2 linked regions of the Neodiprion lecontei genome follow. The protein of the gene in region 2 purifies or fractionates together with the protein of the main gene of each other region. This does not show direct contact. Links are inferred from orthologs where the notes say so. Each region holds a gene or a part of one and is shown on either strand. Other genes may lie near its edges.

Region 1 (8,317 bases), on a different chromosome or scaffold from region 2:
GGAGGGCGAAGAGAACGCGGCGCGGTGGCGACGCGTTGCTCGTCTTGCGGTGCTCAAATCTGCGGGTCATCGCTGGGGCCAGGTGAATTATTCCTACCAGTTCTTACTGGAAGACTATAAATTCAATCACAGAGATCGCAGGACAATTTTACGTAAGTTTCAATCCGGGTCCAGGTCGTCGGCCGGGTAGTTCAAAGCTCGCAGATCGGTAGAAGCAACAGTCACGCGTCTCTGCAGAGCCAGCGGAGCCTGAAACGGGCCATGGAGGAGGCGCGACGGCTTGCCGCGAAGAGCCCGCTGCCACCGGTCAGTCCCGTTCGCCTTCCGGACACGTCGAACTCCAGCACCCTCCACATTCTAAAGGATGTAAACGAAACCGACGATGAGAGAGTCACAGTCACCCCAGAGCCGAGTGTAAGCGATTTGACAATCATAAATCGCGGCGGAGAGAGAAAGCTTACTCAGATATGGATTGTTGAATGATTGTTTAATGTATAATGCGCGAAAAAATACGGGTTATATGAAACAGCGTATCTTTTCCGATCAGCTGAGACCCCCGGCGGTTGTTGGATACGTTGATGAGAAGCAGCCGAAGCCTGTAAAACGGAGTCCCGGTCGAGTGGTGAAACCGCTGACGTCGAAGATCTCGGATCCGAAGAAGAACAGAGCGCGTGTCAGTCCGGGGAAAACTCCACGGCAGCAAACGTCGTCGCCTTTGGCCGAAAGCGTGGCGAACAAAGTTCCGGATGTTTCTGTTACCCCGGACACTCCGGAGTTAGGGCAGGGAACCGAGAACTTGAACAACGATAAACGACGACTGGTCAAGCCGGTACCTAGGTCGCCGCGGTTTGCGCCGTTGAGATCACCAAGGAGAGGAGGAGGCTGGCTCTGATATCTCGGGACGGAGTTTAGACGCCTTTGGCAATTTGCAGAGTGCCTTGTACAACACTAAAAACAATTAAGGTGATTGCGAAGATCAATATCTATTTCTTTGCGAGCCGTTCGAAAGTGGGACATAAGTAAAACGCGTTCAAGAAAGTTTCGCCTAATTAGAATGCGGCGGTGAGTTCGGCTTATGGCACAGTATTAGCAAATTTTTCATTCGTTGTAATACTTTTAAACACTGTCCTGATAATTTATTATATATCTATGCTTATTAACAAGCCGAAAAAACATCTTTTTAGAACAATCTTACTTAAGAGTATTTAAAGTGGTGCGTCCCAAACAAAACATACTTATAGTATTGAGAGAAGGGATAGACTGATGATGGACGTCACATGTGCGTACTTAATCTCTGTTTTATTTGCAATACTCTGGTACATTGTTCATTCTCAATAAATGTATATTATGTTATGTGTTGGCATAATCTATGTATGTACCGCATATGTATAGGTTTCACTTACAACGAACGTCCCGACATGAATAATATTGAAACAAGATACTGGAATAATTTGCTAAAGTCCTAAGATGTGTTATTTTATGTTCATTGATACATGAATGTATAATCATAATAATAATAATAATAATAATAATAATATTAACAAATGTTAGAAATGTTACAGAAAATCATATAGTCAACGCTTCCAACGCCGGTCAGGTGCATGGACTCAATTGTCCTCCGGAGTCACGCGGCTTTTTCGCTTAGTATAGATGAAAATGGAATCTCCAGTAATCTTCGGATTCGAAATTTGACAATTCGTTCCGTTTTCAGTATCATTATGCGTAATTTATCGCGGGCAGAGAGTAACGGCCTATTTACTCGCGATCAATAGCTGATGAATGATGTTGCAATGAATAATAATCATAATTCGAATAAATCAGACGGTGCTCAAGCAGCTTGGACGAGTTTAGTTTGAGGCCCCTTTTGCGTCGAGTTTATCTTGTCGCCCAATGAAAGCGCCATACCTTGGCTCTTAGCCCTGATACGAATGTGACCGACAACTGGAGCATCCTGTTTGTGCATCGGTTTTTCAATTGACAAATTTGCGAGCGCGTCTTCGCCAAATATCGACTTTGCGTACATGTTTGCAGCCATGAATCCACACTGGCCAGAAAGAGCCTGTTTATAATAGAATTTATAGAATTAGGAATACAATATTTGAAGAAGAAAGAAACGGTAGAAGATCGTCAAATAACAGAAGAAACTTTATCTTGCTGAAATAGATTCATAAAAATTACAGTAAGCCATACCTTTTCGGGCGTGAGACAGCGCATGTTGGTCGACTTAAGTAGGTGGGCGAGGTATTCTCGGAGATCTGACAATGTCGTGTTTACCGACACCTTGTTCTCCCATTCAAACTCTGACCACATACGCCTGAAATCACTGTCGGTACATGTTGCTGGTACTATGTAGTCCATTATGTCTATGTGAATATCATTCAGGACTACCACGCTCCTGTCCGAACCGGCGCCTGACACGTCGTATACTGCAAGATGAAATTGTCATAATTAAGATTCCGAAGAAGTTCCCCAACCAGACGATTGAAAATTATTTGTAGGTAAACTAGCTTGACGATATCTCGCAAATTCTCATTTAAAGATTACTAAAGGGGTGTAAGAAAACGTACCAATGTTTCCGAAGATAATGCCGTTTTCCGTCGACGCGACCTTTACGTTCGCCTTGATACTGGCAAAGTCTCTTGGCGCCAGAACTATGGGTTGCGGTCTTTCTACGAGTTTAAGGTCACCCATTGTCGCGAGTTCTAACGTGCAGTTTTGGAGGGTGTCTTCCGTCTGATTGACAACAAGAACGTCGAGGACAATGTCGTACTGGTTGACGTGGACCAGAGCTTCTGCGTATACGGGATCGGAGAATCCTGTGAGCTGCGTTACTTTACTCAAGGCGCTAGGTGCCGGTGCGTCTCCTGCCGCGCCTGAAATATATTCACGAATGAAAAATCGATTTTCGTAAATTTGTTGGTTCCGCGACATTGTAAATAAACATTAAACTCTTTATACCTGGCCTGCCAGCAACCGCCACGCTAAGACTTTGCTCGAAGACGTCTCCCGCGCCTCCAGTGAGATCCAAATTACGGCTGAGTTGCAGGAATTGGATTGCATCATCAACTTGTACGATGCTGCCCGGCTTTTCCTTTGCCTATTAATCGAAAAAAAATTATAGCCCGTAGATTAAATTGTTCCTATTACTTCCTTATGATCGTCATGAGAAAGCACGCTACCTTTTGAGTTTGCGAGTCTTCCTCGGCTTTAGCAGCGAACATTCTGCTGAGGGCGTCTCTACAGCCCTCTGTGAAGACCTTTTGAATGATGGGTGTAGGACAGGCTAGTGACCTCAGGCACACGGTCAGTCGTTCAGCATCGTCGTGGGTCATAGCTTTAGTCGGAAGCCCGGATCTACCGAGCTGCAATACACCAGACATAATGAGCATCGCTTCTGCTTGCATCCTGTTGCTCTTTGTAGCATCGTTCTCGAGAGCTTTGTAGCGCAGTACAAGCTTAGCAAGGGTTGTAGCAAGGGAAGCACCAATGAAAAAGTCACCATCCATCATGTACTGGACCAGAGCTGGACGTTTTTCTTCTTTTTTACCTGAAAGAACAATCACAGTGCAATATTCGCCCATATTTTGTAAAAATTGTCTTTAGAACATGAACTGACCAGTCGATGCTGTGCTAAACGCACTCTGGCTAGCATACGTTCCATCCGAGGTTACAAGCTGAGCCGGGTTTGCTGCTGAAGTTGGGGCAGCGCCGTCTTCGGCCGGCTTGTCACCAGCCGCCCTCTTATTCTCTGCCTCGACTAAAGGTAGCTCTCCAAGCGCGGCCCTAATGCGACTCATTACAGCTTCGATGTCTTCTTTTGAAACTGCATACTCTCCAAGGATCCAAAGAGCTGCACGGTGTACTTTGACCGACCGAATTTGTGGAAATACCTGAGCGAACAGGAGACAGAAAAATTAATAATGAAGTGACATTCGATAAGAGGTAGGGAATGAGATTCTTACTTCTAATAGCTTTTCTATAATGAGTGGCCTGAGTGGCTCAAATCGTTGGATGGCTTCACGAACGAAAATGAGAACGTCAGTGGCTGCAGCTTCGTTATTTTCAGAGAGAAAATCAGTTAGAACTGGTATAACAGTTGCTGCAACATCTGGGAACTTGATTGAACAGGCGTGTAGGGTCCTAACCAGGAGCCGACGGTATCTACCAGCATCTTCGTGTTCCCCACCAGCAGTCCGCATCACTTCTTTCTTAAGCAGCTGCACCATTTCGTCAATGGTTCGATTTGATACCAGATCCATTGCCAAGGCAAGGGTTTTTGTCCTGACTTCAAACGCCGGAGATCCTAGAAGATGATTTCAATCAGGTAAAACTGTAAATCTCCAAGAAATTCTTGAGCAGCAAAGAGCTAAACCCACCCAAAACTCTAAGCACATCCATTACAAGATCCTGTAATACTCTTTCATGGGCAGGGCTGTCCTTCATGGCAATAAGTCGATCCAGAACAATCAACTTCACATTATTGTCACTCTCTTTAACTACCAGTTCTACATAGGATGCAGCAGCAGCTCGTATTGCTGTTGGGGCACTAGACAGGGTAACCAGTGTACCAGCAGCTTCATACCGAACAGCCGCGCTTGGTGAGTTTAGCAAACTATAGATGCAACGGATAAATCTAGCTCTCTCTGATGGATTTGCATGGCACACCTGCAAGAATAATATGAATTTAGAGTTCGTAAATACATTGAAATATGGACTTTGTTTTTTCTTTGAAAGATAATTAAATTGCAGAAAGCTTACCTTGTAAATCAGTTCGACGATAACAAGCTGAAGGATGTCGCCAAAGCTTGGAACTTGGTCAAGACAAGCAGCTAGGTAGGAAAGAGCTCTGCTCTGATCAGCATGGAGCAGCATGAGGAATGCATTTCGTCTACAGGACATATCCTGCTCACCGTCCAAGTATTTTGCGATTAACTCTGGAGCGTCCGGTATGAGAAACTCAAAATTACGGTATATTGTGAATATGGCTAAAACTGCATTTCGCCTAACGTACGAATGCCGATGCTCCAAACAGGCTATGATCGCAGGCATCAGAGGCTCCAGAAGTTCAGGCTCCTTGAGTTTGCAGAGAAATCTAAAAGATTAGGTGTAAAGGATGACGTCAAACACAAAAAATTTAACTGCTAGGCAAGAGCTAAATAAGAATCTGAAAGAACCTCAGAGTGGATCCCCTGACAAATTCGTTTGGATGCTGCAGGTCTTTTCTGTATGCATCGCAGACGAGAATCATTTCCTGAAGTAGTTTGCCATCTGGAGAAGTTTTTGGTACGATTTCCCAAAAAATGAGTAGCAATTTTTTAACCATATGGTCTTGCAATGGTAGCACGAATCTTATAATGGTCATTAACAGCCCAGGGAGCCTTTCGCCACTGATAATCATGTGTATCGTTCTCTTGAGTGCTTCAATTTTAGTTTTGGTGTCACCCTTCTCCAGATCGAGCTTCAGCTGGAGCTCGTTGATTGGCTCCGAATCCATTGGAATATTTATCAGTGTGTAGCATGGCTGTTCTGCAATACTACTCATGGTGGAAATTGGGGCTGAAATTAGAAAAATAAAATACTGGATTTTTCACCTCTTTACATATACTATAGTATCAAGTTCGTGGATGAATCTTATTCTAGTTTGGAGAATTTGACACATGCACTGAAACCTTCAACAGTCCTCCAAAGTGTCAGTATATATAGCGATGTGGGAGAGAAATATTCAAGTCGGCAAAGGACAAGGAAAAGCTGCGACAAACCATTTACTCAGACAGCTCATTTATTCAATTTAATTCAAAGTAATTCTAGGATGGGAGGGCCGGACGGACACACATGTAGGTTATGTTTGCCTTAAGTCGCGAGCCTCACGGCCGAAGAAGAGCATACGTACGATTTCCTCCCGCGTTCTTAAGGAGCAGAAGCTGAGGCAGAGATTCGTCGTGATTTAAAAACGTGGATTAATTGTACCAAAATATAACGCCGCTGAGTAGTTCCGAAAGGAACGACAGCATTTAAAACTGATTCGTGACGAAGATTGCGGACGGCATACGTGTCATACGGAAGTTCGGGCCGCCGTCGTGACAAGCGAATGGCGCGCCAGGGAAATTTAAAGCTAGCTCAGATATTCGAAACCCTCTACTTCACGTTAGCCAGAGACGGGCATATTTAGGTTAATCAAGAGGGAACGGAGTCCCAACGCGGCGGCCCATAAAAAATGAGAAGTAGCGTTGATTGAATATTGCTTGGGACGGGCAAGCTGAATTGAAACTCGACGCAAGAATGTGAGGCGGGGAAGAAAGCCTCGGTAAAGAAATTTCCTACTGTTACCCACTCAATGCCCCCTAATCAAATCGATAAATAAAAGATACTGCCATTATCTCCGCGCCCACGTTGCACTTGTGCTTGCTTCGGGTCCGTTCTGATATGAGCTTCTGGAGCTGTCAACCATCGTTTATCTCTTTTGCGCTGCCGTGTTCGCGGATAGAACCTTTGGCCTAGGGAGTTTTTAGCGCATCTAGCTAACGTCGGAACGCACCCAACAAAATAATGCCCAGGGCTGACTGTCTGTAGCAATCATTAGTCAACGAAAGAAGATGTTGAATATGATTTGCATGAGTTGTAATGTTTTCTGGTAAAAGGAGGAGATATTGTTATTTACGTCAATAACAGTGGATCAAGTGTCTGTACTTGACGAAAAAAGGAAAGATTGAACAATGATGTCGGTACACCAAGGCAGTCGTGTGGGCATTGCACATCACAACATACTCACCTACTATAATGGTAGATGGCACTAGATGATTGCTTATCTTTAATGATAATTAATACGTGAAATCGCGAAGCTGTGGGAAAACAACGTTTCCACTGAGTTAGATTTGATATAGTGCGACAAAGAATTGATTTTGGCATTATCTTCAAAATTTTCACCGGAAGTCGAAAGGAGTTGACCTTACTTGTTCTTGGAACAAACAATCTTTCGTCTCAGAATCGATTTGTACGAACATTTCTAGACTGATTGGACCCTCAGGATCATCAAAAAGAGCAAAGGAACATCAGCAAAAAAATTACGAAGATGATCTTTAATTTTTCGGTTGTAAATCTTAACCCATTGCTCGTAGCGTATTCGGACTGCGCGCAATCGATCCTACCCGCAAAGTTACGTTGATATGGTAAGTACGTCAAAGAAATTATTCCAACAGTTTTTAAAATGGTGATAATTTCCATGAAAAATCCAATGGGCCTTTGTTCGGACCAAAGTAAGCGTTACTATTCTTGATTTTTAGACTTAGCATTTTTTTTCACAGACTCTATTCGTAGGACTTACTGGATTAATTGGACCTCAAGGATTTCCAAAAAGGCGTTTAAATCATTGGGAGATCAACAGATGAAAAGATAAGAATATAACGTGGGAAATTACAATTGTTTAATCATTTTAATGCGGGTTACATGAAACAGTGACAATATTATTATGTGATACACAATATATCGTATCTTGCAGAGGTGCGTTGCGTTGTTACGCAAGTCGGATCTTGAACGATACTTATCATAAGTAACTACAACAATGACACTCCTATGTAATATTTTATCATATTTTGCTTAAGATGAGACATATTGCACGCTGTTTTTCTCTTGTATTCGTCAGATTTATAGAGTAATGATCGACCACATTTTTGTTCTTCTTTTTGTCTTTCATTTTTATACAATGTGGCAACTTGTCAATCACTGCACACTGACACTCGAACACTTGTAGTAGGAATAAGTGTTATTACATAAACTTGAAGTTTGGAACTATGGATTTGTGATTTTTTTCCCCTATCATATTAGAAATACTGTGTGAATTTCTTTGCAATGTCCGTAACATTTATTTTGTGATTGAAACTGATGAGCTTTGCTTTATTACGATTTTTTGTGAAAGTAATTTTTCGGACTGACATCAATTTAAAAGACTTTCGTCGTGATAAGTTGTGACTATGGAATGCAAGAAGCGCATCTGAAACAGCGATGGGACAACAGCTACTGATTACTAGGAAGTTTTACGGTTTTTCGGCCGTAACATTTGATGCGTTGATCGCAGCGTATCGGGACTGCGCCCAATCGATTTCTCTCGCAAAATTACGTCCGATCAGTGCTACAATTAATTGATTCCAGCACTTTTCAAAATCGCGAAAATTTTCGCCAAAAATGGAAAGGGGTTAGCCTTACTTTTTTTTTTGGCAAAAAACTTTTGGTCTCAGATTCGATTTAAACGATCCTTATCCGACCAATTGGACCCTCAGGAACTCAGAAATCGCAGCGAAAAGAGCGTAGGACCAACAGGAGA
Region 2 (6,173 bases):
AAGAATAGTGCGAGAGAAAGGGAACTCGTCACAGGAGATAATAATTTCAGGTTACACCCACTCAGTGTCGCGGAAAAAGTTTCTTTATACTTGTTGCACAGCGAAATCATGAGGCCGAAAAGAATCGGACGATATGCAGGTAGTCGGCTATAACATCGAGACGGGTCTTTGAACTCGGTTCGAAGAGGCAGCTGAAAAACTATTTACTGAGTAGAGTCAACGACTCGTGAAATAATTTACATGACTAGACGCTAAAAAATCTTAGCGGTACTTGTCCTAGGTGTGAAGAGCCGTGCTGGTATAACTACCTTGGTTAAATTTCTTCATCAACGATGCATCAACCTTACAAAGTGATCATTCATTATTTCTGATCAAGAATTTATGATGATGAGTGTAAAGAATGATATTCGATAAAAGGGATAAATCGATTCTTCCTAGTGTCTGTCATTAGCATTAAAAACGCTTTCTTGAAAATGTAAAAGTAAAATATACGTTCGATGCACGACAATTTGTTAGTGCAGTCGACGCACTGGGTGAGTCAGTGAATATATGGATCAGGATTTTACATTGTTCGGTTTATTCGCCGAGTAACGGCGAAGAAACAAACCGTACCCTCGGGCCATACGGAGGAACCGGGTCAGAGGCTTGACGACAAGAGTTTTCTGGTAAGTATTGTTGGTGGGGTGTTTGCTCGTGATCCTAACGGAGTTTATATAGATTACGTCGTCTCCGACAAGACTGGCAGTCTTTAGGAGTTCTTCGATCAGTGCAGTAGTGTTGATTAGCTTCAACAAGATGTCGGCTATCTGGTACTCCCCTTTGTGCTTAGTAAGTACCAAATTTCTTTGATGTTTATCGCGCCGACGGCCATGACTCTTCTTTCATTTTCCTAATTAATTTTTAATTTCTCACGCAGGTTCTAATATACGTCGGATCAGCGCTCGGTACCTTCCAGTTTCCGTACCCGCAATTTCATGCTCCTCTGTCGCTCACCCCGCATCTCATTTACAGTTCGCCGGTCGGCGGAAATGTTGATTTTGCGGGTTACTCGTACTTCACAAAGGACTTCGCTGGCGGGCAAACCGAAGTCGTTTTTGTCACTGGGCCGGAATCGGATGTCAAAATGAACAATGAAGTCAGTGCTATGCGCGATCAGCTGAGTTCGATGCCATTTATCAAGGCTCCAGCCTCCAACCTTGGCAATACTGAAGATGACAAGAAGGTGAAAGTCGCGGAAATGAACAAAGAAACAACAACGGCCGTGCCACTTGTCCCGGTTGATACGATAGAAACTTCTACGCCCGTCCCGAAGGATGATGCGTTGTCTCCAGCCATGAACCCGACGGAAGGCACGAAGCAAGACCAACCAGATGAGGTGTTCATCCCGGAAAAGGGTGTCGGGTTCCAAGCGCCTTACCCTATCCTGAGACTGCGAGGTTTCAATTCCTATTATCCTCAGTTATCGTCCGGATTCTCTAGCTATGGGCCGTCGAATTACTTTGGATCTCAGTACGAGCCGTTCTACAACCAGTACAGCTCTTACCAGGGTCTCTATAATCCATTGTACCCGACATTTGAGGAATACTACAATCCGCTATTTCCGTCGTTGCATCATAACCCGATCTTCACACCATCGGTGAACAATTACATCTCCGGGGAGTCCGAGGAAAGCATGCCAGAGGATTTGAAAGAAATTCAAGATATGATTCCGTTGAAGGTCGGCCAGAGTTCCGGAACCGGCGAGAAGGTTGAGAGTACTTCGGAGCAGTCTGCCACAAGTGACGTGATTTCGGGAACAACCGAAGAAGATTCGTCCAAGGATTCAGTCACCGTTACCGATCAAGCAATGTCCGCAAAGCTATCTGAATTACCAACGTCTACTGAGCAGTTGACAGAAAAATCCGCAGAAAGTTCTACAGAGTCGACTACAATCTCCGCGGAAACATCATCGCCTTCAAGCTCGACTGCAACCGAATCTGTGGAACCAACTACTCCCGCGGTTGTTAGCGATTCCATGGCTGTTGCTTGATTAATTAATATAACCATCGGAAGTTAAGTTAAATTCACTGTTCAAGGCAGTAGGAGACGGCTTAGATAGCCTTGAGAAGTTCAGATATTTCTTTTTTAGGCAGTCTAACTATGAAATAGCCCTTTCCGTGTCTTAAATGTAACTTATCACATTGACGTGTATATATTGGGATTGAATCGAATAAAAAATTATAATTTACTTTTTTCTTTTGTACATCAAGACTGCCACGTTTGCTTTATTTCGTTGAAAGATTTCCACACCAATGCATCCTCTTTCAGTCCGTTGAAGCCAATTTTGGGCGACCTATTTCTAGGGAACGGATTGTTTCAATTTTTCGAGAAGTAGTCTATTGTGTAAACTACAAACCGCCAGTAAGCCATTTCAAATTATTTACTATAGAAAGTAAAAGACACTGTTGGGCGGTCGCTTTCGCGTTCTCCCTAAGTCCCTATTAATGGAGCCATGAGACATGCTAGATAAATAGGTGCGCTAAAATATTTGTCCGATAATAATTCGTTAAGAATTTCCGAGTTATCAATAAATTGTATTCCGAAATGTACTCGCACGACCGTCATCATCATTTTACAATTGTTGATCAATTCTGTTAGAGACACAAATGCGGTCAACTTTCGGAATGTGCCGCTAGTATTCGAAAATTGGTAGCGGAATTAAAAAACACGAATCAAGTGATTCGTAGGTCAGTAAGTAGATTGTTTTTTTTTTGTATTTAAAGTTTGGTTAAAAATGTGACAGAGTTGTCTTTGAATACGTAAAATTTTAATACTGACAAGGAAAAATTGAATCTGTCTAGTAAACAAAGCGGCAATTACTAAGTATTTGTATACAAACCCTAATCGACCGAGCGCTTATTATCTCAAGGAAGGTTAGGTTTTTTAGCATTGTAGGTTATGTCAAAAATTGATGACGTGTCTGTCCGTCTGCTGCGGAATCACTTCAATTACGTCGGCATTGTAAGACACCCGGTCAATTGCTTGGGTATTGAGTGTTGCGTCTTGAACTGAGACCAACGTTCGGTCACGAATAACATCCAATTTCTTACGTATAGAAATTACTAAGTGAAATTTGCTCTAAGCCCTTGCCATCCGACAAGACGGCATGTACGTGAAATATATCTCACCTAACAAGGATCCAGGGCCTCTTAGGATGAAAAGACAAGCCCTTGACGCGGGCGGATTTTGTTTCGAACTTGGTCAACATTTCGTAGGTTTTTTCTGCCTGGAATTCTATCACAATCGCATTATCGACAGCAAGATACACCTAGCGATACACTTAGACACGTCACTAGCAAACTTGACAGAATGGCTGCTGATGGCTGTTACCCAAGCTGTTACCGACGCCCATAAGCATTGGTCGGTTTACGATCATAGACAAACATGCTCATGCTGCAAAACGATGCGTGCAGAGGCACGCTACCTAGCGGAGTTTCGTAGAACAAGTCAGACCGCATGCTTACACATGCGTTGACCGATATATAGGTATATTCAAATTTCGAGGGTGCATCGCTCTTCAAGTAATTCAGGAAAGTTACTCATATCCTGAAAACCGTCAAAAAAAGTGTGGTTTTTCGACACGTCTTACTTATATTTCCATATTTCCTACATTTCAGGGGCCAAAAAGCGCACAGCTGAGATACTTTGCGCAATTCCAGGAAGAATGAGGAGTGAAATGAACTATCGTAAAACTGTTCTCACGCAATATTGAGGTCGCTAGTTGAGAACTAGAAATTACAATAATTTTGTAAATAAAAGAAGCTGTCACGATCAGTTGGGCGCGCGGCAACACGTTCCTTGGTTCGCATGGTCGCGGCAACTCGACGCGAGAGCATTTTTCAACCCACTGAACTGTAATTTCAGTGTTTGAATCCTTTTAATTTGTTTGTTTATTTAATATAGGAAGAAAAAAACATGAGAGCTGTCATGGGACAGCCGGTACGAACGAAGTTCCTTACGCTATATTACTGCTCATTGAATAAATTAAGAACGTTTAATTGAAGAATAATTAAATGAAAAATCAAATATATGAAGGAATGGTAATAAAATCGTACGAATGTGTTTTTGAAAGATATAAAAAGAAAGAGAGGCAAAGTATAGACGTACGCTGTGAGAGAGCGCGCTGCGGCCCAAAGTATAGTTGTACGCTGTAGGAGAGAGAAAGAGGGGCGAAGTATAGTCGTGCGCTGTGAGTGAGAGAGACCGCTGCTGCCGTCTCCCACCCCAAGCGCTGAGACAGAGAGAGAGAGCGCGCGCACACGCTGGAATAGAGAGAGAGAGAGAGAGGGAGATCGCGCGCACTATAGCAAACGAGCACTATAGCCAAAAAGTGTCGGTTTTTTGGTGTCGTTTTTTTCCGCCTAGCCCCTACGGTGAACGAGCGATAAGGAACTTCGTTCCAAAAAGGGCGAGATTGCTCGGTCAGTAAGAGTAGGACCACTACATGACCTTAAGTCCGTAGTTTCTAGTTATGGAGGATTGTGGACGCAACTGAAACCGATAGAGAAAGACAGCTATGTATTCCTTCTCTCCCACTGTTTTTCCGTCTTTCTCTCCAGCGACTAGCTGGAGACCCGAGCGCGACAATATTAAGCAGGTTTAATGAAACTGACTACATATGACCTGCATTTTCCACTTGATAGTTAAAAAGTCAGGACCGCCAATTGCTACTGCAATTGCGTATAAAAATTTTATACCTTCCACACTAACCTGATGAGCTCTCTGTTTGGTCATTCTAGCGCTATAAAGTACCTACAGTATCAAGAATGTAGGTTGAGATATATGTAATATCTTTACTTATTATTAGAAGGGTAATTGACGAGATGGTTCATACGTATTGCAATAATTGTAAATACGACGAATGGCATGCTTGGCGGGATATTGTAAAGTATATTTGAATACAATGGAATAACGTCACCACACACTGTACATACATGCTATAAATTATCAAACTTACTGCACATGCGGTCACTGCAAATGTTGCATGGCCAACGCGACAGTAATAAGCTTGACGTCACAAAGTTCACGTATTTATAATATTTAATTTCATAATATGTACAGTTTATTATTTTACATGATGTTTGCCTTAAATTACAATAATGACACGTGCAACGCGCGCCTATTATCGCTTCCAAAACTTTAAACCACGGATAAATTGATGTATTGTCGATTTTACAGTGTGCTCTCGCGTTCCGTATACAGTCTATAATCTATTTGGTAAATATTATAAGATATTTCAATTACATCACTTATATATTAAACGATGAAACATGATATGATGTAAGCACAATATTATTTGCTATTTCGTTACCCTGCGAAGGTATACATCTGTTCTTGATTTCCGAAAGTAATGATTTCCTGACACGTTTACATTATATGCATTCAAATGCCTTCAACAATAATAACATAATATAATATATGTGGTTGTTATCATGAATAAATTTATTTCGTAAATTCTGTCTACTCCTTCGTCCCATATTTACTTTTTAATAATGGGACCACGAGTATTACGAATACTTGCTGAATTTCTACTCAATGATTTGCTTGAAGTAAGAAAAAGAGGGGAAGAAACAGAGAAAGAGAGAGAGAGAGAGAGGGAGAGATAGGTGGCGAAATCACCTGTATGTATTAAATTTGTACCAGGCAGTCTTTTGTATTACCATTCACTCGGCAATACATATAGGTATGTATATTCTGATTGTAATATTAAGTTGACCAAACTGCGAACATTTTGTAATTGCTATTAGTTTAGAATTTTTTCAAGATTGCTTCACTGTATATGCATATATTTGCAAAATCTTTCAACAGTTTTGGCGATAATTTATTTCTTTTTAATCATACGAAACTTTTTTTAGACTACGATCAGGTTGTGTTGCAGTGTATAAGATATAATGATGACGGATAGTTAATATACATATAGATTTTAAGACGTGTAATTATACTGCATTATTGATATACATAATACTATAAATAGTAAATAATTTTAATTATGCGATGTTTCGTTATTGCTGTTAATTAATGCGGTAACTGTTCAATAATTTTTGGAATAATTTGAATAAGATTTATTCCTAAGCTATTTAAAAACTCGTTCTCATAGATTCTATAATCGAAGAAAGTGTTTCGTCGATAAGAAT

The links. The genes of interacting proteins can lie anywhere in the genome.
Region 1: the proteins of coatomer subunit alpha (region 2) and coatomer subunit beta fractionate together in Homo sapiens (co-fractionation; 6 studies listed by BioGRID and IntAct, with this or other methods). This does not show direct contact. The link is inferred for Neodiprion lecontei from reciprocal best matches to the Homo sapiens genes COPA and COPB1.

What each region holds. Positions count from the first base shown.
Region 1 is NC_060265.1:2,314,598-2,322,914, forward strand, and holds coatomer subunit beta, read right to left. Parts: upstream 6,087-8,317; 5' UTR 5,891-6,086; intron 5,557-5,890; 5' UTR 5,543-5,556; coding exon 5,175-5,542; intron 5,093-5,174; coding exon 4,759-5,092; intron 4,666-4,758; coding exon 4,377-4,665; intron 4,304-4,376; coding exon 3,963-4,303; intron 3,891-3,962; coding exon 3,617-3,890; intron 3,548-3,616; coding exon 3,180-3,547; intron 3,098-3,179; coding exon 2,959-3,097; intron 2,874-2,958; coding exon 2,568-2,873; intron 2,427-2,567; coding exon 2,191-2,426; intron 2,060-2,190; coding exon 1,829-2,059; 3' UTR 1,281-1,828; downstream 1-1,280. Other genes in the region: transient-receptor-potential-like protein, read left to right, coding at 1-82, 175-414, 548-892. UniProt on the Homo sapiens protein: The coatomer is a cytosolic protein complex that binds to dilysine motifs and reversibly associates with Golgi non-clathrin-coated vesicles, which further mediate biosynthetic protein transport from the ER, via the Golgi up to the trans Golgi network.
Region 2 is NC_060264.1:35,963,521-35,969,693, reverse strand, and holds the start of coatomer subunit alpha, read right to left. Parts: upstream 3,376-6,173; 5' UTR 3,248-3,375; coding exon 3,168-3,247; intron 2,228-3,167; exon of another isoform or gene 2,030-2,227; coding exon of another isoform or gene 917-2,029; intron 829-916; coding exon of another isoform or gene 796-828; exon of another isoform or gene 722-795; intron 1-721. Other genes in the region: uncharacterized protein LOC107217266, read left to right, coding at 796-828, 917-2,029. UniProt on the Homo sapiens protein: The coatomer is a cytosolic protein complex that binds to dilysine motifs and reversibly associates with Golgi non-clathrin-coated vesicles, which further mediate biosynthetic protein transport from the ER, via the Golgi up to the trans Golgi network.